Linked DNA regions of Macaca fascicularis. The protein of the gene in region 2 interacts with the protein of the main gene of each other region in a pairwise test. Links are inferred from orthologs where the notes say so. Each region holds a gene or a part of one and is shown on either strand. Other genes may lie near its edges.

What was found.
Region 1: the proteins of MCMBP (region 2) and DDIT3 interact in binary tests that used the Homo sapiens proteins (3 or more experiments, as listed by UniProt). The two-hybrid records come from large-scale screens. The link is inferred for Macaca fascicularis from reciprocal best matches to the Homo sapiens genes MCMBP and DDIT3.
Region 3: the proteins of MCMBP (region 2) and ASL interact in binary tests that used the Homo sapiens proteins (3 or more experiments, as listed by UniProt). The two-hybrid records come from large-scale screens. The link is inferred for Macaca fascicularis from reciprocal best matches to the Homo sapiens genes MCMBP and ASL.
Region 4: the proteins of MCMBP (region 2) and PRTFDC1 interact in binary tests that used the Homo sapiens proteins (3 or more experiments, as listed by UniProt). The two-hybrid records come from large-scale screens. The link is inferred for Macaca fascicularis from reciprocal best matches to the Homo sapiens genes MCMBP and PRTFDC1.

What each region holds. Positions count from the first base shown.
Region 1 is NC_088385.1:64,327,005-64,333,158, forward strand, and holds the start of DDIT3 (DNA damage-inducible transcript 3 protein), read right to left. Parts: upstream 3,733-6,154; 5' UTR 3,618-3,732; intron 3,547-3,617; exon of another isoform or gene 3,512-3,546; coding exon of another isoform or gene 3,449-3,511; intron 806-3,448; coding exon of another isoform or gene 764-805; 5' UTR 758-763; intron 67-757; 5' UTR 23-66; coding exon 1-22. Other genes in the region: DDIT3 upstream open reading frame protein, read right to left, coding at 764-805, 3,449-3,511. UniProt on the Homo sapiens protein: Multifunctional transcription factor in endoplasmic reticulum (ER) stress response. Plays an essential role in the response to a wide variety of cell stresses and induces cell cycle arrest and apoptosis in response to ER stress.
Region 2 is NC_088383.1:128,849,599-128,855,126, forward strand, and holds part of MCMBP (mini-chromosome maintenance complex-binding protein), read right to left. Parts: coding exon 5,448-5,528; intron 3,761-5,447; coding exon 3,627-3,760; intron 2,466-3,626; coding exon 2,301-2,465; intron 1-2,300. UniProt on the Homo sapiens protein: Associated component of the MCM complex that acts as a regulator of DNA replication.
Region 3 is NC_088377.1:60,337,133-60,343,296, forward strand, and holds the start of ASL (argininosuccinate lyase), read right to left. Parts: upstream 3,683-6,164; 5' UTR 3,624-3,682; intron 3,442-3,623; 5' UTR 3,399-3,441; coding exon 3,387-3,398; intron 1-3,386.
Region 4 is NC_088383.1:25,634,419-25,639,946, forward strand, and holds part of PRTFDC1 (phosphoribosyltransferase domain-containing protein 1), read right to left. Parts: intron 2,945-5,528; coding exon 2,927-2,944; intron 1,538-2,926; coding exon 1,455-1,537; intron 1-1,454. UniProt on the Homo sapiens protein: Has low, barely detectable phosphoribosyltransferase activity (in vitro). Binds GMP, IMP and alpha-D-5-phosphoribosyl 1-pyrophosphate (PRPP). Is not expected to contribute to purine metabolism or GMP salvage.

The DNA.
Region 1 (6,154 bases), on a different chromosome or scaffold from region 2:
GAGTGGCTGGAACAAGCTCCATGTAGCAAACAGTCTATGCCACAGGTTGGCAAGCTGGTCTGATGCCTGTTTTTGTAGGTAAAGTTGTATTGGAATACAACCACATCTGTTTATTTACATACTGTTTATGGCTGCTTTGGTGCTACAGTGGCAGAGATGAAGAGTCACGCTAGAGACCATAGGGCTCTTAACATCTAAAATATTTATTATCCTGCCCTTTAAAATTTATCAACTCCTAGTTTATATTAATATTCCCTCCTTGCTTTTGCCCAGGACTTGAAGAAGCAAAGTGCCTGGATATCCATGCTTAGGGGATCTGGAGGACTAGTCAAATTCCTGTCCCCATCAAGGTTAGGCTGAGCTGAAGGACTATTTCCCTGAGCTCCCCACACAGGAGAAGGGAGCACAAATGACCTGGTAATTGCTCCTGGAAACTATCAATAGAGTTTGCAAGTGGGACTGAAGACTAGTGAAAGTTTAACCCTGACTGAAGACTGGTAAGGCAAACCAGTTGTCTTTGTTGGGGCTTTCTTTGAGGACCATCTTTCCATTAGGACATTCTTTAAGAAAAGTGGTTTGCTCACCTTGTAGGAGCAAGCCAGGAGAATAGACAGCCTGATAGCAAAAGCTTGCTCAGATTCAAACCCTCCTTTCCCACCTTCTCTAGGTCTTTTCATAATCTCTTAGGGTCTCAGCAAAAGGAGGCTAAGCAGCATCTCTTAGGACTTGGTTTTGGGAAAGGGTAGGTTAAGTTTACCTGCTTTCAGGTGTGGTGATGTATGAAGATACACTTCCTTCTTGAACACTGTAGGCAACAAAGAGAAATGTTAGCCATTTTTGGAAGGGGGAGAGGCAACTTATTTTTTTCTTTTCTTTTGAGACGGAGTCTCTGTTGCCAGGCTGGAGTGCAGTGGCGCAATCTCGGCTCACTGCAACCTCTGCCTCCAGGGTCAAGCGATTCTTCTGCCTCAACCTCCCAAGTAGCTGGGACTACAGGTGCATACCACCGTGCCCAGCTAATTTTTGTGTTTTTAGTAGAGATGGGGTTTCACTGTGTTGGCCAGGATGGTCTCCATCTCTTGACCTTGTGATCTACTCGCCTCCCAAAGTGCTGGGATTATAGGCGTGAACCACCATGCTGGGCCCTTATTTTTCTTTTATCTCCAGCCTCCTACTGGTCCGTCCTTACTTCTGGTCTTGTGGGGTATGCATACTTGGTCCCTGTAGCCATTTCCAAGGGCAGAAGAGGGCCTGACTTTATTTTTAGTTGCTGACATTTGTAGTCCTGGTTACATAATAGCAAAGTTCTGGCCAACTCAGCTTTCTCTAAATTCAAGGCAGGCCTTAAACCTGCCAGGGTAAAGACTAAACTATAGGGAAGGGAACAAATCGTAGCATTTTCCTAACTCCATTCCCACACTGACATCCTGTAGCATTTTCCTAACTCCATTCCCACACTGACATCCTCCAAATGTGTATTTCCAGTCTGGACCTCTTCCAGAACTTCCGACTCTGCTGTCTACTGCCTACTTGCCATTTCTTTTTCAATGTCTAATAGGTACCTAAGACTATGTGCAAACTTGTTGATTTTCCCCTTCCAAGGTCATCCCCATCTCAGATGACAACTCTAGTTGCTTAAGCTAAAAACCTTGGTATCATCCTTCATTCCTCTCACACCCTGCAATCCAAAGTACTAGCAAATTTTAACTTTTTTTTTTTTTTTTTTTGAGACGGGTCTCCCTCTTTTTGCCCAGGCTAGAGGGCAGTGGCACAATCTCCGCTCTGCAACCTTTGCCTCCTGGGTTCAAGCGATTCTCCTGCCTCAGCCTCCTGAGTAGCTGGGATTACAGGCATGCACTACCATGCCTGGCTGATTTTTGTATTTTTAGTAAAGATGGGGTTTCACGTTGGCCAGGCTGGTCTTGAACTCCTGACTTCGTGTGATCCACTCCTCTGGTCTCCTAAAGTGCTGGGATTACAGGCATGAGCCACCATGCCCGGCCCTTAACTCATTCTTTAAAAATGAGTTTTTAAAACTTTGCTTAGAAGAATTTAAACACCTCTAATTCCATTCTTTCCAATCTAGATCAATTCACCACCATCTCTCAATTACTGCAGAAACTTCCTGATTGCAGAAGGTCTTCCCATTTCTTCTCTTGCCACCCCTCCGTAAGTCTATTCACCATACAGCAGCCTGAGTGAACCTTTTAAAACAGGTCATTCCTCTGCTCAAAACTCTCCAGTGACTTCCTATGTCATGTCAGGGAAGTCATTGGAGGGTTTTGAGAGGAGGAATTACCTAAGGTAATTCCTGACCACCTGATGTAACACAGTAACCTCCATCCTGAACATTCTCCATTCCTTTCTCTGCTTTAGCTTTCTCCATGGCACTTATATTTTGTTTACTGTAGGCCTCCCACTGAGATGATTTTTTCCTCTTGCTCACGGATGTTCCCTGAGCCCCAAACTGTTTGGCACACAGTAGGTCCTCATTAAGTATTTGTTAAGAATGAATGAATTCTCCCCAATCTCTCTTATAGGGAAGGGGCAGACGCAGAGTGGCAGCTGCCGATCCCTAGGGACTGGAGATGCAATATTGCCCGAAATATTTCTCTGCAGGGCTGTCTTCCCTGGGGAACCCTCCCTTGCCTTCCAGTGCGTGGGACTTGGCTTTCATCAGCAGTGGAGCCTCAGGTCAGAAGGCTGCAGAGCCAAACGGGGCTGGCCTGATGCAATGGTTACACAGAGATTAGCTGGGAGACAGGACCGGGTTAAAGAGGCAGGGACTAATCCCGAGGGAAGGACGATACCCTGGGGAGACCCCAAATGGCCTCCTACACTTAAGAGATCCAGGCTGCTCTCTTGTGCGGGAGGCCCAGAGACCTCTACGGCAAAGGGAAAACACACCGCTCCCTGTCCATCGGCACCCCTCCCAAAGGCTTGTGTCAAGGTTCCCCTTTCAGCCCTGCAGGGTCCAGTAGCCCCAGCTACCGAGGTGGCCATGCTGACACCAGAGACGCTGAGACTGAGACAGGATTGGGGGTAGGGTAGGGAGAAGGCCGATGGTGGCGAACGGGCGGAAACGGTTTGAGCGATGGTAACTCAGTCTTAGAGCGGGGGTGTGTCCTGCTGCCTCCCCGCGGACAGGCCTAACGAGGTGGCCTGAAGTTGGCTACGGGAGAGAATGAATTTCCCTAGGGCAGCCGAGGTCCCTTTGCCCAGCAGCACAGAGCAGGGCCCATGCTCCGGCTCCGGGCAGGGGTGGAGAGACGCTGTCGTCCGAAGCAATGGGGGTTTGTAAGCACCACCCCAGAATAAGGGACTCTCCCCATTCCTCTCTCGGACGGTCCCTGACTTCACTGTGGAGGCGTGAGGCCAATCCTAAAGAGCGGATGCCCCAACTCTGAGGAGACGGGAGGGCAAAGGGCAGATGGGAGTCAGTACTCGCCTCTCTCCTCAGGTTCCAGCTCTGATTTTGGCTCTGTCGCTGCCACCCGCTCATCTTCAACATGATACGCTCAGTGCCTTAGACTTAAGCCTCTGACCTCGGGAGCGCCTAGCTGTAATCTTTTACCATGGCCTTGCCCTCCTCTCAGGGGCGGGACCCCAAAACCTACCAATCAGAAAGTGGCACGCCGGCATTGGCCCCGCCTCGTCCCTCGTATCCGCCACTCAGGAGCTCCGCAGAACCGCCCCCGTCGCTCCCTCTCGCTAGGGGGTCGACGTAGTGTCGGACCCGGAAGTGGCTTTGGGTCACGAGGCTTCACGGAGGCGGTGGGTGAGTCATGCGCGCGCGCGGAGGGGAGTGTAGCGGGGGGAGGGGAGGAAAGGGGGGCGGGGATGATGCAATGTTTGGCAACTGGTGTCTGCACGCGCACGCGCAGGGGACTACGAGGGTGGTGGGAGGTGCAGAGGGTGGGGGAAAGGAGAGAGGGCGGGGCGCCAGCTCCCGGCGCCCAACGGCCCCAACGGCTATCAGCGTTGGCCGTCCGTAGTCGGTCGTGTGGAGCCTCTTTGCCGCTTGTCTCCCCCAGAAGCTGCTGTTCCGCCCACCGAGCTTTAGCCGGCGTTTTACCTCCACTATAAGGGACTCCCATTTTCCTTGGCCCCTCCCAGCTAATGGTCATATAGGCCTTTTGAACTTTTCCTTTGAAAGTTGGTATCCATCCACTGGGATTGTCGACATCTCGAGAGTCTTAGAGAGGTCTCCGGGCTCGGTGACTCATGCCTATAATCCCAGCACTTTGGGAGGCTGAGGAGAGCGGATCACTTCAGGTCAGGAGTTCCAGATCAGCCTGACCAACATGGTGAAACCCCGTCTCTACTAAAAATACAAAAATTAGCCGGGTGTGGTGATGCGCGCCTGTAATCCCAGCTACTCTGGAGGCTGAGGCAGGAGAATCGCTTGAACCCTGGTGGCGTATGTTGCAGTGACCGAGATCGCGCCACTGCACTCCAGCCTGGGTGACAGAGCGAGACTACGTTTCACCGAAAACGAAAAACAAATAAAAAAAACCGGGGTCGTCTAGCCCCGTAAATCTCCCAAAAGGGGCCGAGGTACTGGAATCCCTTGGTAGTCATTTTCCGCTTCTCTCACAACAGCGCCCTTGACTTTTACCTTGGAGTTGCTAAGCCCTCAGCCTGCCAGAAGTCATGTATTTTACCCAGTGGACCCAATTCTGTTTGGCCACCTATTTTCCCCCACTATACTCTTACGGCTTTCTCCAATACCAAGACCCTCTCTTGCTGTACCAGACAGCAAGTCCTGTGACTCCCTGCTGTGAGGAGCGCGGCACAGGCCTGCCTCCTAGGTGTTCGGGTCGAGATTTACAGCGGAGTCTCATCCTGGGACGTGTAAGTGCACTTCAGCGCAGGACCGCCGTGGACTGGGGAGACCGGGGCCGCGATTTTAGCCTCAACTCCCCCTCACTTACCAAGGGATCTTACCGTCCTTGTTTGTAAATCAACGAGTTGTAAGGGTAAAATGAGAACCATGAACTTGGAGGCAACTTGAACAAAAGTAAAACGCACCACGCAGAATGCAAAGTATTTTTCTTGTGCCTTGAAAACAGAGGCCATGTGGTGGCCTGTTACATATCCTGTCATACCCTCATGGGGGCAGCCAGAGTTTAAGTAGAAACTGTCACAAGGCCGGTTGTGACTGGAGTGGTGTTTCTGTGACAGGTCTTTGGTTAGGCTGCTCCGTTGCTCCACACCTCCATTTCCCCTCTGAAAATGGGGGTGGTGTGGGGGGTGGACCAGATGGTCTCTCCTGGCCTAAAGACAGACCAGGTTGTCAGTGACAGGCAGAGGTCATGTGACTTGACAGGCCGAGGTCGTGTTGTGACATGTTGACCTGGAGAGGCGGGTCAAGTCCCAGCACACTACCCGGGAAGCCTTTGGGGCGGGGCAGGGCAAGTCGCGACTTTCATCTTTCGGGCCTGGCCCCTCCCGGACCTGGCATTCCTGGCTCCCGCAACAGACTGTGGCTTTGGAAGGGGCCCCTCCCCGAGGAGGGCTGGGATTGGCCACCAGTGGCCTGGGGAGAGGCGCAGATCCTTCCGCGGAGGGAGGGGGGCCGCGTGGGGTGTTTGTTCTCTTGGGGATTAATGGGGGGTTGTGGGGGAGGGGTAGGCGCGCTCCCGCATGCGCACTGCGGCCCCTCCAGTTGGCTCGTCGCTGTCCGCTGGGCGGGGGCCCGGCCCCGCCCCTCTCCCGGCCGGGCAGCGGCGGAGGCGGCGGTGGCTGCGGCGGTGGCTGCGGCAGCGACGGCGGCGGCGGCGACAGCGGCAGCAGCCTGCGCAGTGCCTTCTGGGAACGGAATCCCCAGGGCTGCCCCTGGCCCCCATGGCGCATGCGCGGGAGGCCGCTCGGTGATCCGCGGCGGCGGCAGCGGCGCTTCCTGCTAGGACCGGCCGGGGCCGTACCGGAGGCTCGGGCTCCACCGACCCTCCTCCCACCCCCTCCCACTCACTCTCTGGGCCGCGACTGCGCAGGGCGGGGCCGGCCGAACCATGGGCCGCGGTGAGTGCGGGGCCCGGCCCCCCCACCCCGCCCCTCCCCCTCCCCTCCCCTCCTGTCCCTACCCTCTGCCCCCTCCGCGTCCTCTCGGCCCCTTTCCCCGGCCCCATCCCCACTCCCCCGCCCTCACCTG
Region 2 (5,528 bases):
AAATTTCTTTCCAATCATTAACCACAAAACTAACAGAGCAGAGACTTCAGTGCCCACATGTGACAAAGATACAGACTTTATAGGATTAGTCAAAAAAGTTACTAAACAACCTACCAACAGTAACAAATAGCAATAACAATAAACCCTAGGGAGGTTTAATTTCCAGAGTCTAACTTCCCAAGCAGAGTTGTCATAATATATAATTTAAAATGTCTGGTTGTGGCTAGGTGTGGTGGCTCACGCCTGTAATCCCAACACACTGGGAGGCCAAGGTGGGAGGACTTTGAAGCCAGGAGTTGATCAGCCTGGGTAATAAAGCAATACCTCATCACTACAAAAAAAAGAAAACACAAAAACAAAAAACTTTAGTTGGGCATGGTGGCGCACACTTATGATCCCAGCTACTGAGGCAAGAGGATCACTTGAGCCCAGGAGTTTAAGGCTGCAGTGTAGCTGTGGTTGTGCTACTTACTATTCCAGCCTGGGTGACAGACTGAGACCCCATTGACCAAATAAAATGTCTGGTTTTCAACAAAAAGGTACAAAGAAACCAGAAGGTATGGCTCACACTTTGGGGATAAGGGAGTCAGTAGAAACTGTCCCAGAGGAAACTCAAACATCAGACAAAAAGACTCTAAGTTGGCTATTTTAAACATTCAAAGAACTAAAGGAAACCACATAAAAAGAACTTCAGGAAAATATGAGAATCACCAAATAGTATCAATAAAAAGAGAGAAATAATTTTTTAGAAGGAAATTAAAAATTCTGGAGTTGAAAAACATAGTAAAAATTCTCTAGAGGTACTCAGATTTGACTAGGCAGAAGAAAATCACTAAACTTGAAGATAAGTTCACTGAGATTAGTCTAAGAACAAAAAAAGAAGAATGAGGAAAAATGAACAGAGGCTTGAAGACCTGTGGGATACCATTAAATGCACCATCAGATACATAGTGGGGGTGTCAGAGGGAGAGGAGAGAGAAATGATGCAGAAAGAAACATGGCCAAAACCTTCCCAAATTTGTTGAAAACTTCCCCAAAATGTGAATTATTCTGCACCTCCAAGAAGCTCAACAAACTCCACGTAGGATAAACTCAGAGATCTACACACAGACACATCATAGTCAAAACTGTCAAAAGCCAGAGAATCTTGAAAGCAGTGACAGAAAAACGACTCAGTGTGTACAAAGGATCCTCATCAGAAACTAGCTGGCTTCTCAGTAGAAACAAGAGGCCAGAAAGTGGCGGGAGCACATACTCGAAATGATGAGACAGACTATAAACCAAGAATTCTACATCCAGCAAAACTAGCCTTAAGGAGAAATTAAGACATTCCCAGATAAACAAAAACTTAAAAGAGGGCTGGGCGTGGTCACTCACACCTCTAATCTCAGAATTTTGGGAGGCCAAGGACAGAGGATCACTTGAACCCAGGAGTCTGAGACTAGCCTGGGCAACACAAGGAGACCCCTATCTCCACATACACATCAAAGAATTAGCTGGGCACACTGGCACATGCCTGTAGTCCCAACTACTCAGGAGGCTGAAGTGGGAGGATCGCTTGAGCCTGGGGGGGTTGAGGCTGCAATGAGCCACGATCACAACACTGCACTCTAGCCTGGGTGACAGAGCGAGACCCTGTCTCAAAAAAAAAAAAAAAAAATTTTTGCACAAGTAGACCTGCCATGCAAGAAACACTAAAGGCAGTTCTTCGAGGTGAAATGAAAAGATACTAGGCAGTAACATGAACCCACATGAGGAAATAAAGGTTGCTGGTAAAAGTGACTGCATAGGCAAATAGAAAAAATAGTACAGAAGTCTTCTCTGTTTCTTTTTTCTCTAAAATTAGACAACTGCAAAAGCAGTAATTCTAAATGTGTTGATGTACATACAATGTATAGAGAGGTAACTGTATGACAGCAGCACAAGGGAGAGGAGAAGGACGGAATTATAAAGGGGCAAAGTCTTTGTATATTATAATTAAACTAGCATTAGCCACACAAATTTTTTTAAATTAAAAATAACTAAACAAACTGGCATTAATCCTTAATAGATGATTATACTAACATGTTAAGTTTATCCCCCTGGGGCAGCCACTAAGAAAGTAACTTCAAGGGATTAAAATGGGACACTGGAAAATATCTATTTCAAACAAAAAGACAATAATGGAGTAATAGAGTAATAAAAAAAGACATGACAGAAAACAAATAGCAAAATCACCTCATCAGTAATTATGGTAAATGTAAATTGGCTGCATACTGCAATTCAACACAGGGAAATCCTTTATTTTAACCTAGACATACCTTGGTTATTTCATCAGATATGCTATATTCCAAGAATCTCAAAAGGGTTAAATAAATGCGGAATTTGTTCAGCACGGAAGGCAGCACCGCTGAGAGAAGGCTGTTCATGTATTCTTCCATGTTTGGTGGAATTAGCTGGGGCTGTAAGTGAATCTGGCAGTCTGCCTGAAAAGAGAAGAAGTACACTGTATTTTCTGAGTTCCTAAATTAAATCTACATTTTTAAAGAAAGATGCATCATCCCTGTCAGCCCCTACAGGAATTAGAAAATACCATTTATTATTTAGGGGGAGGGAATAATTTTTTTTTTTGTATGTGTGCAAGACAGAGTTTTGCTCAGTCGCCCAGGCTGGAGTGCAGTGGTGTGATCACAGCTCACTGCAACCTGCCTCCCAGGCTCAAGCGATCCTCCCACCTCAGCCTCCTTAGTAGTGGCACCACAGGTGCATGCCACCACACCTGGCTAATTTTTGAATTTTTTGTAGAGACAAGTTTTGTCACATTGTCCAGGCTGGCCTCAAAGTTCTGGGCTCACACAATCCACCTGCCTTGGCCTCCCAAAGTGTTAGGATTACAGGTGTGAGCCACTGCACCCAGTGAGAATCTATTTTTAGTATTACTTTACATGCTTTATAACTACCTCAGAAATAATTATGAAAGTTAGCTTTTTCTTGGTTACTTCAATGGTATCAATAAGCACACAAAAATGTAGCCAACCTCTAAAAAGCAGCTAATTAAAAAGGCCTATCACACTTGCACACAGAGAACATATCCTTGAGCCATTTCATTCTTATCAAAGACTGTTTCTCATCAATCACAGGTGAATACTATTATACAGAGACTATAAACCATTTGACAACTGGGAGCATTTCCCATCCTCCTTAGAATTAAAAGCGCTCTTTACCAGCCGCTCTGAGGACATAACAGAGCATTTCACTGTAAAGCATGAAAATAACTACCAAGTAACCAAGGACATTTTCAAAGGAACTCTAAAATATTTTTCACATAAGATTAGCAGAAAACAATGGGTCAAAGGCAGCAAGAACAGAAGTCTGGAGGTTAAAATCAGGCAATCTTGCTATGCTTTGATGTGGGTGTTTCTGCTGCCAACAGCCTTGCTGGTCTCATGACTTGCTGATATCTGAGCTTGGCAGATGTAAGGTTTTCATCCATGGCAGTGCAAAATACTCAGTTCCCTTAATGATCAGCAGTCACAGTTTTTTTTTACAACAAATGTAACTTATTAATAAGCGGTACCAAGAAATAGCAAAAACGTAGGTATTTTTCCCATGTCAACCTCCCTCCATTTAAAAATGACTCATTGTACCGGGAGGAGTGACCTCCCCTCCGAAGTAATGAGAACGTTGATATTGCAGGGGAATTCCATCTGATGGTAGCTGAAGTCATAATCCACCTTCTGCCACGTTATGAGGTTGCTCAGGGCAGTTACATTATGAACACCTACGAAGGCAGGAAAACACTTTCAGTCATTTGACTTTAATCATCTCAACAAATCAGTTTTGCTGACACCAATGATAAGCCATGAAGTTTCTACCGCTTTTAATAAAGGGTATGAGGCGCTGTCCAATTTACTAAGCTAAACATCACTAAGTGTGTAGGCTTACAACACTCTTGGTCAAGGTAGAACTTTATGGGGCCAGGGGATCCCCCCACAAATCTAATACCTAGCATCTGGTATGCACCTAGACATAAAATAGTTCCCAAGCAAGCACAGTTATTTCTAAGTGGTGTATTTACAGGGCTAAAATAAGGAAACACTAAAACTACCTTCATACATAGATCAGCCTAGTGAATTTTACAGATTTTATATTCCCCTTTGCCTTAAACGTGCCCAGTCTACCTCATTTTTTCTTCTACCTTTACCTCTTGAGCTGATCACCAGCAGTATATTCTTAATTGTCTTCATTTGAGCACTAGTAAACAATCTGCTTCTTATGATTTTATAATATATTCTATAACTGAGGTTAGTGCAAACCATTTGATTATTTTTCAGATATTCTCTGAAAAACGTTTAAAAACTTTACAATGGGAGGTTAAAAAATAATTAGCCAGGCATGGTGGCGGGCGCCTGTAGTCCCAGCTACTCGGGAGGCTAAGGCAGAATGGCGTGAACCTGGGAGTTGGAGCTTGCAGTGAGCCGAGATTATGCCACTGAACTCCAGCCTGGGCAACAGGGCAAGAGTCTGTCTCCAAAAAAAAAAAAAATCTGTTAGATCAGCTTCTTCCCATTTCAGTTTTTTAAAAAGCTATTTGGGGCAGGTGCAGTGGCTCACACCTATAATCCCAGCACTGTGGGAGGCCAAGGCAGGAGGATCACTTGAGCCCAGGAATTCAAGATCAGCTGGGCAACATAGTGAGACCCTGTGTCTACCGTTCCTTACACTCACTGAATGAAAAATTTTAGGTTATATACAACTACACAAAGAACCCAACATTGTAGGCCCATACAGATGGCTCCAACCATCTGCTGACGCAATAAAACTTTTCACCGAAGAACCCTTATGACCCTCAACATCTAATACTACCCTTTATATTACTGCTCCTTTATATTAATACTACCCTTTATATTATTGCTCCATTATAAATAATATATAAAATATACAATTATATATTTTTATATTATTAATTACATATTATTTATATTTTATATATTATTGCTCCATGTTATATATTATTCATATTATAAATTATATATAAATTATAAATATAAAACCTATAAATATGTATTATTTTTATATATAATATATAAGATATATGATACATAATATAGTATCTGTTCTATTGTACTCCATTATATTAATACTACCCTTTATATTATTGCTCCATTATAAATAATATATAAAATATATAAGATATATATTAGATAGAAGATATGATACATTTTATATATATAGTATCTGTTCTACTGTACTACTTTCAGAATACTATGGCAAAACAGAGTTGGTATATACAATTTAATTAGTTTATAACATGCTTTAATCAAATTCATATGCCAAGCCTTTATCTTATGTTATTTGTTAAATGTGAATTTGTCTTTGTCCATAGATACTCTTCTAAAAGTTTATTCCTAGATCTGGCTTTAGTGGAAAGGAAGTCAGAAATGGAAGGGAAACATCTATGTACGTACCTGGGGTATCCAGCTGCCCCTGTTCCAGGAGAGTCTCATCGATTACAAGGGAAGTATTGCTGGGCAGCTGGAGGAGCCCAC
Region 3 (6,164 bases), on a different chromosome or scaffold from region 2:
AAAGTGCTGGGATTACAGACATGAGCCAAGGCGCTGGCCACATCTGTTTTGAAAGAGGGCAGAGACCAGGGCATGGGACGGATCGGGGAGGGGGTACAGAATACCTGGGGCACAGCCCTAGTGCCCAGGACTGGGAGGAGGGTGGGGTGGAGGTGGGCATGTCACTTCACTGACGTCCTTTTTGTAGAAGGGAGTCTACAATGGCCAATGGGGACATATATCCTCCTCTATCCCCCTGCAATACCCCAGACTTCTATTAACTACCTGGCCTGGCACCTATTATTAAACCTCAGGGTTGGGAGGCTCAGGCAGGTGAATCACTTGAGGTCAGGAGTTCAAGATCAGCCTGGCCAACATGGTGAAACCCCGTTTGTACTAAAAATACAAAAATTAGCCAGGCTCGGTGGTGGGCAGCTGTAGTCCCAGCCACTTGGGAGTCTGAAGCAGGAGAATCGCTTGAACCCTGGAAGTAGAGGTTGTGGTGAGCAGAGATGGCGCCATTGCACTCCAGCTTGGGCAACAGAGCAAGACTCCTTCTTAGAAATAATACTAAGGGCCGGGCGCAGTGGCTCACGCCTGTAATCCCAGCACTTTGGGAGGCCAAGACAGGCAGATCATGAGGTCAGGAGATCGAGACCATCCTGGCTAACACAGTGAAACCCCGTTTTTACTAAAAATACAAAAATTAGCCGGGCAAGGTGGCGGGCGCCTGTAGTCCCAGCTACTCCGGAGGTTGAGGCAGGAGAATGGCAGGAACCCGGGAGGCGGAGCTTGCAGTGAGCGGAGATCGCGCCAGTGCACTCCAGCCTGGGCGACAGAGCGAGACTCCATCTCAAAAAAAAAAAAAAAAAAAAAAGATAATAATAATAAGATAAAGATAATAATAGTACCTATCTGATAGCCTTGTTGTGAGCATTTAATCAGATCGTATTTGCAAATTGCATATATAACATGGTGCCTGGTGCTCAGGAAGGACTTGAGAAATGCCAGCTGTTACTAAGGGAGGGCTGGCAGGGGATAGGACATGCTTCAGCTCCTGGTTCCTGGGTGCACCCCAGAGACCTCTACAGTGCTCTGGCCCTGAGCTGTGAGCTGACCCCTCCATGCCCAACAGCCCCGGCTGCCAAAGGACTCTGCCCTGCAGAGGCAGCCTCCACCCCCACCCCGTCTTTTGAGCTGGTCCTGCCCCTTACCCCACAGCTGCCCCACCAAGCCCAGCTCTCCAGCAAAGCACCACGTGGGGCCCTGGTCCTGATCACTGGAGCCAGCCAGTCAGAATTGGGGCCGGCCTGCCCTTCAGCCGGGAGCCGGGCACCGCCTCCCCCAGCGGGCTCCTGGGCCACCCTGCCGAGGTTGTTAGTAATAAAAACAACTACTTAATAAGCGGAGCGGCAGCCAAACCAATTAGTGCCAACCTACAGGAAGGTCTGGGGCAAGCTGAGGTCACCTGGAGCACTGGGCTTGTGGGAAGCCAGACTACTGTGCTCCAGACCAAACTCCTATCCTTACTGGCAGGCATAATAGGACCCTACGGGGAGATCAGGGTGAGGTGCCTCCCTTTGGGCACTGAGGAGAGGGGAAGCCCAGTGTGGTAGCAGAAGGTGCTACTGCAAGCCAGGACACATCTGGGCCAGAATGGTCTCTTCAGGGCCAGGGGATGGGGCACTGAGTTGGGCTGGGTTGAAAGAGCAACAGTCAAGGGCGAATGTACATGGGAAATATCAGTTTTGGTTTTGGGATTTGTGGGTTTTTTTCCTTTTTTGAGGAAGAGTCTTGCTTTGTCCCCAGGGCTGGAGTGCAGTGGTGCGATCTCAGCTCACTGCAACCTCCGCCTCCTGAGTTCAAGCGATTCTCCTGCCTCAGTCTCCCAAATAGCTGGGACTATAGGCACCCACCACCACACCCGGCTAATTTTTGCATTTTTAGTAGAGATGGGGTTTCACCATGTTGGCCAGGCTGGTCTCAAACTCTTGACCTCAGATGATCCACCCGCCTCGGCCTCCCAAAGTGCTGGGATTTCAGGTGTGAACCACCATGACTGGCAGGGTTTTCTATTTTTATTTTTTGAAACTGGATCACATTCTGTTGCCTGGGTTGGAGTGCAGGGTGAGATCATGCTCACTGCAGTCTCAAACTTCTGGGTTCAAGCAATCCTCCTGCCTCCGCCTCCTGTGAGACTACAGGTGTACACCACCACACCTGCGTAATTTTCAAAATTTTTTTGTAGAGACAGGATCTCACTATGTTGCCCAGGCTGGTCTGGAATTCCTGGGCTTCAGCAATCCTCCCGCCTCGGCTTCCCAAAGTAGAAATATCAGTACTGTTGTGGTTAGCCACCATTTATTGAGCACCTACTGTTGCTCAGCCCTGTGCTAGGGATTTGACATACGTTATTATGGCCTTTTATGAGGTGGGCAATATCACCCCTATTTCACAAATGAGGAAAGAGGTTTGGAGGGCCCAAGTGACTGGTACAGAAACCAAGTCTGTTTGGCTCCGAAGTCCAGGCCCTGCTCCCCTGCCCCCCGCCCATGGCCCAGAAGCTTGCAGGGCACTGAGTAAAAGGAAGTGAATTGCTAGCTAATGAAGGCCAGAAGGGCCTGGAACCCAGACCTCCTGCTTCCCGGGGTTCCCTTCATCAAGCATCAGGTGAACAGCCCCTTTCCCCTGAAGGGTCCAAAGCAATGGCCTCATAATCTAGTGCCTTACAGAGGGAGGCCAACAGCTATTATTACCCCCATTGCCAGATAAATCAACTGTGGCCCAAAGGAAGGAAACCTCTGCTTGGGACTCCAGCATCTCAGTGGTCAGGAAGAGAAGCCAGGAGCCACTGACCCTAAGGAGCAGGGTCCAGTGAGACAGGAAGGGAACCAGGCACTGGGGTTGCTGGAGTCACAAGGCGAGGTCCCCTTTTTCTTGGTTCTTTCCACATGCCACAGTCAAGGACAAGAACACTTAGGGGCTAAGCCTTATTCTATAAACAGGGACAATTGCTCTAGCAGGAGAAGGGATGTGGTGTGGGGTGGGACCTGACAAAAGGACATGGGGAAGAAGGAATGAAGAGGTGGAAGGCTGAAGGCTTGGGAGCACTTTTCCTGGCCAGGCAGGCATCACTGTGAGGTGAGGGCAGAGCCACTCTACCCCTAGTAGTGTGGGTTGGTGGATTTGCCAAAAGGGCTGCCTGGGGACACAGGTGAGTCCCAGTAAAGGTGACTGCTGAGCTCCAGAAGATGCGCCCGGGAGGGGTGGGGGTGCCGGCTTCCTGGGTAATTTTCAAAATTACTTCCTGGAGGGCGATTCCCAGCAGGGTGGCCCGAGGCAGGTCTGGCGCCCCCACCCTCTCGTTTGGAGGCTGGGAGGACCGGCGTCCCCGAGGTCCCACTCACCTCCGAGGCCATGTTGGGCAGTTCCTCGTCGTCCGGAAGCTTCGGTCCACCGGGTCTGGAAGACAAGACCGGACTGACGACCTCCTTGGCCAGCAGGGTCCCCCGGGCCAGGCTGGCTCCGAGCTCTGGGCACTGCGCTTGGCCGAGCGCAGCCCTTGGGAACACGGACGTGAGCGCATGCCACCATTCTCGGCGTCCTCCACGCCCGTCCCGCCCATCCGGCCGCCGCGCACTCACCTCCGCCTGGTCGCACGGACACTGTCGCGCCCGCCACTGGCCAGGGCTTTTCTGGCTATGGGATGGCGTCAGCAGCCGCCGGCCCTGTCCCCACCCCTGGCGGCGGCCGCGTCAATAGGAGGCAGCCCAGTGGGTTGGGCGTTGCCTCCGTCCTCCAATCCTGGCTGTGGGCGGGGACACCTCCGGCTGACCTAGGAGCTGAGCTGCACCGCGGCGGGGAAGCGGGCGGGTAAAGGGTCGGGGGGGCCCCGATGTGGAAGGGGGTTGGGCTGGGGTTGGGGAGGGTAGTGCCCTGGCGTTCGCGCTGCGGTGAGCAGACACGCAGGAGACTGGAGACTCGGGCCAGGGGTAAAGGCTATGACATCAGGCCCGGGCCTGGCGGGTTCACAAGATATATAAGGTGAAATGGCATGTTCGCCCATTAATTCATTCATTCAACAAACACGTACCAAGCACTTCTATGTGCCAGGTACAGAGTTAGAAAGGCATCGAGGAAAAAGGAAGGAACATCAGAAATAAAGCCCGTGCCAGGCGCGGTGGCTCACAGCTGTAATCCCAGCACTTTGGGAGGCAGAGGTGGGAGGATCGCTTGAGGCTAAGAGTTGGAGATCAGCCTGGGCAATGTAACAAGATCTCGCCTCTACAAAAAATTAATTTAAAAAAGAAAATAGCCGGGCGTGGTGGTGCACGCCTGCAGTCCTAGCTACTGAGGAGGCTGAGGTGGGAGGAGCAGTGGAACCCAGGAGTTCGAGGCTGCAGTGAGATATTGTGTCACTGCACTCCAGCCTGATTCCTCTAAAAAAGAAAAGAAATGCCGCCGCAGGCCGGGCGCGGTGGCTCACGCCTGTAATCCCAACACTTTGGGAGGCCGAGGCAGGTGGATCATGAGGTCACGAGTTTGAGACCAGCCTGGCCAAGATGGTGAAACTCCATCTCTACTAAAAATACAAAAATTAGCCGGGCACGGTGGCGGGTGCCTGTAATCCCAGCGAGTCGGGAGGCTGAGGCAGGAGAATCGCTTGAACCTGGGAGGTGGAGATTGCAGTGAACTGAGATCGTGCCATTGCACTCCAGCCTGGATGACAGAGCAAGATTCCATCTCAAAAAAGAAAGAGAGAAAGGAAAAAAAGAAAAAAGGCCGGGCACCGTGGCTCATGCCTTTAATTCCAGCACTTTGAGAGGCTGAGGCGGGCGCATCACCTGAGATCAGGAATTCGAGACCAGCCTGGCTAACATGCTGAAACCCTGTCTCTATTAGCCGGGTGTGGTGGTGGGCGTGTGGTGGTGGGCGCCTGTAGTCCCAGCTACTCAGGCAGGAGAATCACTTGAACCAGGGAGGTGGAGGTTGCAGTGAGCTGAGATCGTGCCACTGCACTCCAGCCTGGGCAACAGAGTGAGACTGCAAAAAAAAAAAAAAAAAAAAAAAAAAGGTGGGGGGACCGGCGCAGAGGCTCACGCCTGTAATTCCAGCACTTTGGGAGGCCGAGGCAGGCGGATCACGAGGTCAGGAGATCGACACCATCCTGGCTAACAAGGTGAAACCCCCCGTCTCTACTAAAAATACAAAAAAATTAGCCGGGCATGTTGGCGGGCGCCTGTAGTCCCAGCTACTCCGGAAGCTGAGGCAGGAGAATGGCGTGAACCCAGGAGGCGGAGCTTGCAGTGAGCTGAGATCGCACCACTGCACTCCAGCCTGGGCGACAGAGCGAGACTCCATCTCAAAAAAAAAAAAAAAAAAAAGTAAGGAGTGAAGGAGGGAAGGAGGGAAGAGGAGGGAAGAAAGGAAGGAAGGAGAAAGAAAGAAACAGAACAAAAGAAATGAAGCCTGACTTCAAGAAGTTCCAACATAGCATAGAGGAGGTGTGCAGGAAGCATGGGGGTGGAGCGTTGGGGGGCTATATTGGGTACTCAGGGAAGATGTCCTTGATCTGATTAATTAATTATTTAACCAAAATGACAGGCTGGATTCTAGGCACTGGGAGTACCCTGAAGGGGCTTCTAGTGAACCTGTCCTCTGAATTGGGTCTTGGAAGATGGGGGGAATTTGCCCAGGGAGGAAGGGGAGAAGAACATTCCAGGCAGAGGGAGAAGTCTGGACAAAAAAGGTGACTGGCCTGCTTTAAGAACAGGAAATCATCCAAGTGGCTATAATTATAACAAAAGGTAGGGAGGAGAGGTGGAAGGAGTTTGGGGGAAGGCTGTGAAGAGTTTTCAATGTCAAGAAAAGGAGTTTGTTCTTGGTCCTGTAGGTCATATAGGGAGCCCAAATCAATTTTAAAATCAGAGGAGCCACATTTATTTTATTATTTATTTATTTATTTATTTGAGACAGAGTTTCGCTCTTATTGCCCAGGCTAGAGTGCAATGGCACAGTCCCGGCTCACTGCAACCTCCGCCTCTCAGATTCAAGGGATTCTCCTGCCTCAGCCTTCCAAGTAGCAAGGTTACAGACATGCACCACCATGCCTGGCTAATTTTGTATTTTTAGTAGAGACGGGATTTCTCCATGTTGGTCAGGCTGGTCTTGAGCTCCTGACCTCA
Region 4 (5,528 bases), about 100 Mb from region 2:
AGCATCATTAAAAGATGTAGTTGAAATACATATTTTGCTACTATGGCACTATATAGACGGTTCTGGATAAAAAGAAGAGAGCAGGTCAGGCACAGTGCCTACATCTGTAATCCCAGTGCTTTGGGAGTACAAGGTGGGAGGATCACTTGAGCCCAGAGGTTCAAGACCAACCTGGGCAACATAGCGAGACCCCTGTCTCTACAAAAAAATAAAAAATTTAGCTGGGTGTGGTGGCACCTGCTTGTAGTCCCAGCTACTTGGGAGGCTGAGGTGGGAGGATTGTTTTAGCCCAGGAGTTGAAGGCTGCAGTGAGCCATGACTGCACTACTGCACTCCAGCCTAGGTGACAGAGTGAGACCCTGTCCCAAAAAATAGATAAAATATAAAAAACTTTTAAAAAAGGTAGCTGTCAGTCAGGCATGGTAGCTCATGCTTATAATTCCAGCACTTTAGGAGGCCAAGAAGGGCAGATCACTTGAGCTCATAAGTTTGAGACCAGCCTGGCCAACATGGTGAAACCGCATCTTTACTAAAAATACAAAAATTAGCTGGGCATGGTGGTATGCATCCGTAGTCTCAGCTTCATGGGAGTCTGAGGCAAGAGAATCACTTGAACCCAGGAGGTTGAGGTTGCAGTAAGCTGAGACTGCACCACTGCACTCCAGTCTGGGTGACAGAGCAAGACTCCATCTCAAACAAAAAAACAAACAAACAAAAAATAGGGGGTAGCTGTACCTAGCTACTCAGGAGGTTGAGGTGGGAGGATCACTTGAGCCCAGAAGTTTGAGGCTGCAGTGTGTTATGATCACACTACTGTGATCATAGAGCAAGACCCTGTCTCTTGCTCTAAAAAAGGTCTGGGTGCAGTGGCTCATGCCTGTAATCCTAGCACTTGGGGCGGCTGAGGCAGGCAGATCACTTGAGGTCAGGAGTTCAGACCATCCTGGCCAACATGGTGAAACCCTAGCTCATCTCTGCTAAAAATACAAAACATTAGCTAGGCACGGTGGCGGGCGCCTGTAGTCCCAGCTACTTGGGAAGCTGAGGCATGAGAATTGTTCGAACTCAGAGGGCAGAGGTTGCAGTGAGCTGAGATTGTGCCACTGCACTTCAGCCTGGGCGACAGAGAAAGGCTGTGTCTCAACACAAACAAACAAAAAAATGAAGGGAGAAGAGCAATTGCACGGGGGCTCATCCAGCTGCTCCTGGAAACAGCTAATGGAGGCTCAGTAAAGAGGAACTCAGAAACATGGCGAAGCACGTCTTCTTCCCTTTCTTCTCTCAGGCTAGCAGTCAAGGGCTGCTTTTCAGTGTGGTCAAACTGTAATACCCCAGGGGAAAAGGTCACTAGATTGGAATATATTATACTGTTTGGAAAGAGCATCCTGTGTTAGCATACCTTTTGGGCTTGCTTGGAAAACCAGAAATCACCATGCTATGAATGTCCAACTCACCTGGCTACCTTAACCATGTTGGGCTTGTATTTCTCTATATTGCTGAGTAGTGCTTTCATGGTCCTCCCAGTTCCGACGACATCCTTTGCAGAAAGGACAGATAAATTCAACAAAGTGCATCTGAGCAGCACAACAGACTTTTCATCCAGGGCGATACTCCTGATTAATAATGCATCGTAATTAAAAATGCCATCCAATTTGGAGCCAAAGGAGGAGGAGGAGTGGGTTATGTTTTATCTAGACAGGCACTTCCTTCTGGAAGCTGAGTTTTGGGGAATCTACCGGAGACTCTTTCCTCCTTGAATCCTTTAGCTGTGTTGAAGGGCCAAATTTAGCCTTTGGACAGCATGTGGGACTCCTCATTGAGTACATTTGGACTCGCGTATGCACATTCAAGGACTAAATTTGGCCCTGAGGTTATGTAACACAATACAAGGCACATGAATTTTCATGGATATGTACATCTGAATACACTGAATGGATAAATGCCTCCCCCTCATCCTCCCCCACTCAATAGGGCATTCTATGGCTGGGAAGTGAGAGGTGTCTGGACAGCAGCTGGTGACAGCCTGTGAATTCTGAGGGTCCACGGCTGCAGTGAGCTCGGGCTCATCTCCGCTGATGAGCTGCTGCACAATTAGAGGAGAATGGGCAGCCGCGATTTATTGTCCTAAGGACAGGAATCAGCTGTCACGAGCTGATTATCAAAACAACAGGTCTGAATGTAACCAGGCTTGGGCAATTCATTTGGTGAGAGGGTCTGCTCCATGGGTTATACTGAGCAAGAACTCCAGATACACATGGCGCACACAGGCAATTGTGTAGCAAAAGGTTGAAAATAGCTCCCCTGAATTTTTTGCTGTTTGATGAGACGAGCATGCTCCTGAAGGAAACGTGGCCATTTGCTGTATTAGTCCACTACTGCCATAGGGATCCCACGTTCTCTTTTTTAACAGAAAAACAAACGTAAAACAAAACAAAACAAAACCAAAAAAACCCAAAACCATAGCTTTCCCCATAGCTCACCATTTTTAATTGATTGTGTTTATGATTTTGATGCTGAAAGTATTTGAGAATTCTCAAAATCGTCAGAGGTCCTTAGCAAAAACACTGAATTCAGGGCAAACAGAGTTCTAACCTTGGTTTCATTGTGAAATGAATTTGGTTCGGTGAGCTAGTTTCCTCTTCTTTAAACTTGTCTGATTCACAAAGAACCATAAGAATCAACACAGAGATACGTGGAACTGGATACACAAAAAGGACAAAGTCGTCCACAAATATTGTTGCCAAGCTCTTATTCTACATTATTTGAAATCAGGGATGCTATTTGGCCCGTATTCATTAAATTTGGAGAGCATGCACCCAGTGGGAGCTCAAGAAATCCTTGGTCAATTTGATAACAAGGTGTGCAGTTTAAAACTCACCATTAGAGTCTTTCAACCTCCAAGTATGGAAAGGAAATGCCAGCTTACCTCAACAATGAGAACATTCTGAAATAAACAAAACCCGTATTTTAGAATGCGATGCCAATCTGACTCACAGGATACATACACATTTTTTTGCTTATAGTTAGAATTTCACAATTTGCTCAGACAGTCCTTCCCCATCCATCTAATTCAAAGGACTAGAGGTGATCTAGGTTTTCCAGATTCATTTTAACAGGTCCTCCGGCATTAGTTGGTGATGCAATGTTAGTATCTATATTTAGGTTAGAAACAAGCTTATGTTAGACCTGTCTGACGAGCTCTCCATAAAGTCATCCCTTCTCAGTAATTCTGCCAAGGGCCTCCCACCCCCACCTGGGAGGCAAAGCCTGTTAAGAGTTTCCCAGGAAAACAATGCAACATGAACCGCATCACTAACGGAGATTGTGCTTGGTAAATGCATCATGGGTTCAGCTGTGACAGCCTTCCTCTTGCACGACCACCAAAATCCCTGGGGACTCAGGATTTCCTCTTGGATTGCCAACCTAGATGAAGACAGTAGGCTAGAGAAAGGACTGGGAGGTGCCTGGTGTGTATTTTTAGTGAGATGGTTAGATTCCTTGCAACAAGGTCTCAAGGCATTCCTCTACCTCTTCCCTAAGCACACTGTGATATGGTTTGGATTTGTGTCCCTGCCCAAATATGCTGAAACGTAATCCTCAGCGCTAGAGGCGGGGCCTGGTGGGAGGTGACTGGATCAGGGGGGTGGGTCTCATGAATGGTTTAGCATCACGTCCCTTGGTGGTGGTGTCCTGATAGTGAGTTGCCCTGAAATCTGGTTGTTTAAAGGTGTAGGACACCTCCCCCTCTTTCTCTTGCTCCATGTCTGTCTCCAGACATGTGAAGTGCTGCTCTCCCTTTGCCTCTGCTATAATTTTTTTTTTTTTTTGAAACAGCATCCCACTCTGTCACCCAGGCTGCAGTGCAGTGGTGCGATCTCCGCTCACTGTAACCTCCGCTTCCCGGGTTCAAGCGATTCTCCCACCTCACCTTCCCACATGGCTGGGATTACAGGTGTGCACCACCACGCCTGGCTAATTTTTGTATTTTCAGTAGAGATGGAGTTTTACCATGTTGGCCAGGCTGGTCACAAACTTAGGAGCTCAAGTGATCTGCCCTTCTTGGCCTCCCAAAGTGCTGGGATTACAGGCACGAGCCGCCACACCCGGCTGCCTTCTGCCATAATTTTAAGTTTCCTGAAGCCTCCCCAGAAGCAGAACAGATGCCAGCGTCATGCTTCCTATACAGCCTGTGGAACTGAGAGCCACCTACACCTTTTCTCTTGATAAATTACCCAGTCTCAGGTATTTCTTTATATCAGTGTGAGGAAGGACTAATACACGATGATTGTACTACATTTTAATTTCTTGTTTGATATGTCTTCCCCACTATATTCTAATCGCCATGAGGTGGGGATCATGTTTGTCTCGATTCCTACCATATTGCCAGAAACTAGCATAATGCCTGCATATAAGTGCTCAATAATTATTTGTTGAATAAAGCAATAACAACTGATTAAACTTATTACTGAGTTAAAACTGACCGATTAATTGGATTAGGAGTGACATGTCAATGCTGCCCCACCAAATTAAAATATGACTGTGTTAATATGCCATCCCAATTTACTAAATGGTGAGACTATTCTTTCAATGTAATGGTGTTTTTCTTTCTTTAGATGACTTTACATTTATCTCTATGATTTATACAATACTTTAAGAATCATGACCCGGCACAGTGGCTCACGCCTGTAATCCCAGCACTTTGGGAGGCCGAGGTGGGTGGATCACCTGAGGTCAGGAGTTCGAGACCAGCCTGGCCAACTTGGTGAAACCCCGTCTCTACTAAAATATACAAAAATTAGCTGGGTGTGGTGGTAGGTGCCTGTAATCCTAGCTACTCAGGAGGCTGAGGCGGGAGAATCACTTGAACCTGGGAGGTGGAGGTTGCAGTGAACCAAGATTGCGCCACTGCACTCCAGCCTGGGTGACAGGTAAGACTCCATCTCAAAAGAAAAAAAAAATCAGATCAAATACTACACATTAGATAACTTACTTATGTTTAATGCAAGATTTAATTAATAAAAATGTTAACCACCCACCCACCAAACCAGCCAACCAACAACTCTGTTAACTTTGCACCATATGTCAAATGCATTCTTATGTGAAAATATCTTCTTGGAAGTGTTTTTCTGTCAGGTATGACATTTTTATTCATTAAATCCATTGAAAATCTTAATTTTATCATGGAAATACATAAGATTATTTTGTCTATTTTTGAAGCAAGGCACCATTCTTTCAATATATTTTAGTATATTGAAACCCCTTCTGTAACAAAAACTACAAGAGTCATGCTGCCAGGGGAGTCCCCTTGGTATTTTGAACACAAGTTGCTATAATCTTAATGGCCAATTTGCAGTAGTTGCTTGAGATGTGCATTTTTAGTTTGATTGAGGCTTACCAATCAGACCTATAAACCAACCAGAATACTTGGAGAATGTTGTGATTCATTTAATTTTCTGGCTCACAATCTCTTTTTGTTTCAACTTTATAAAGAAAAACCTTTCTAAAATGTGTTAGTCTGCATTCCTGCC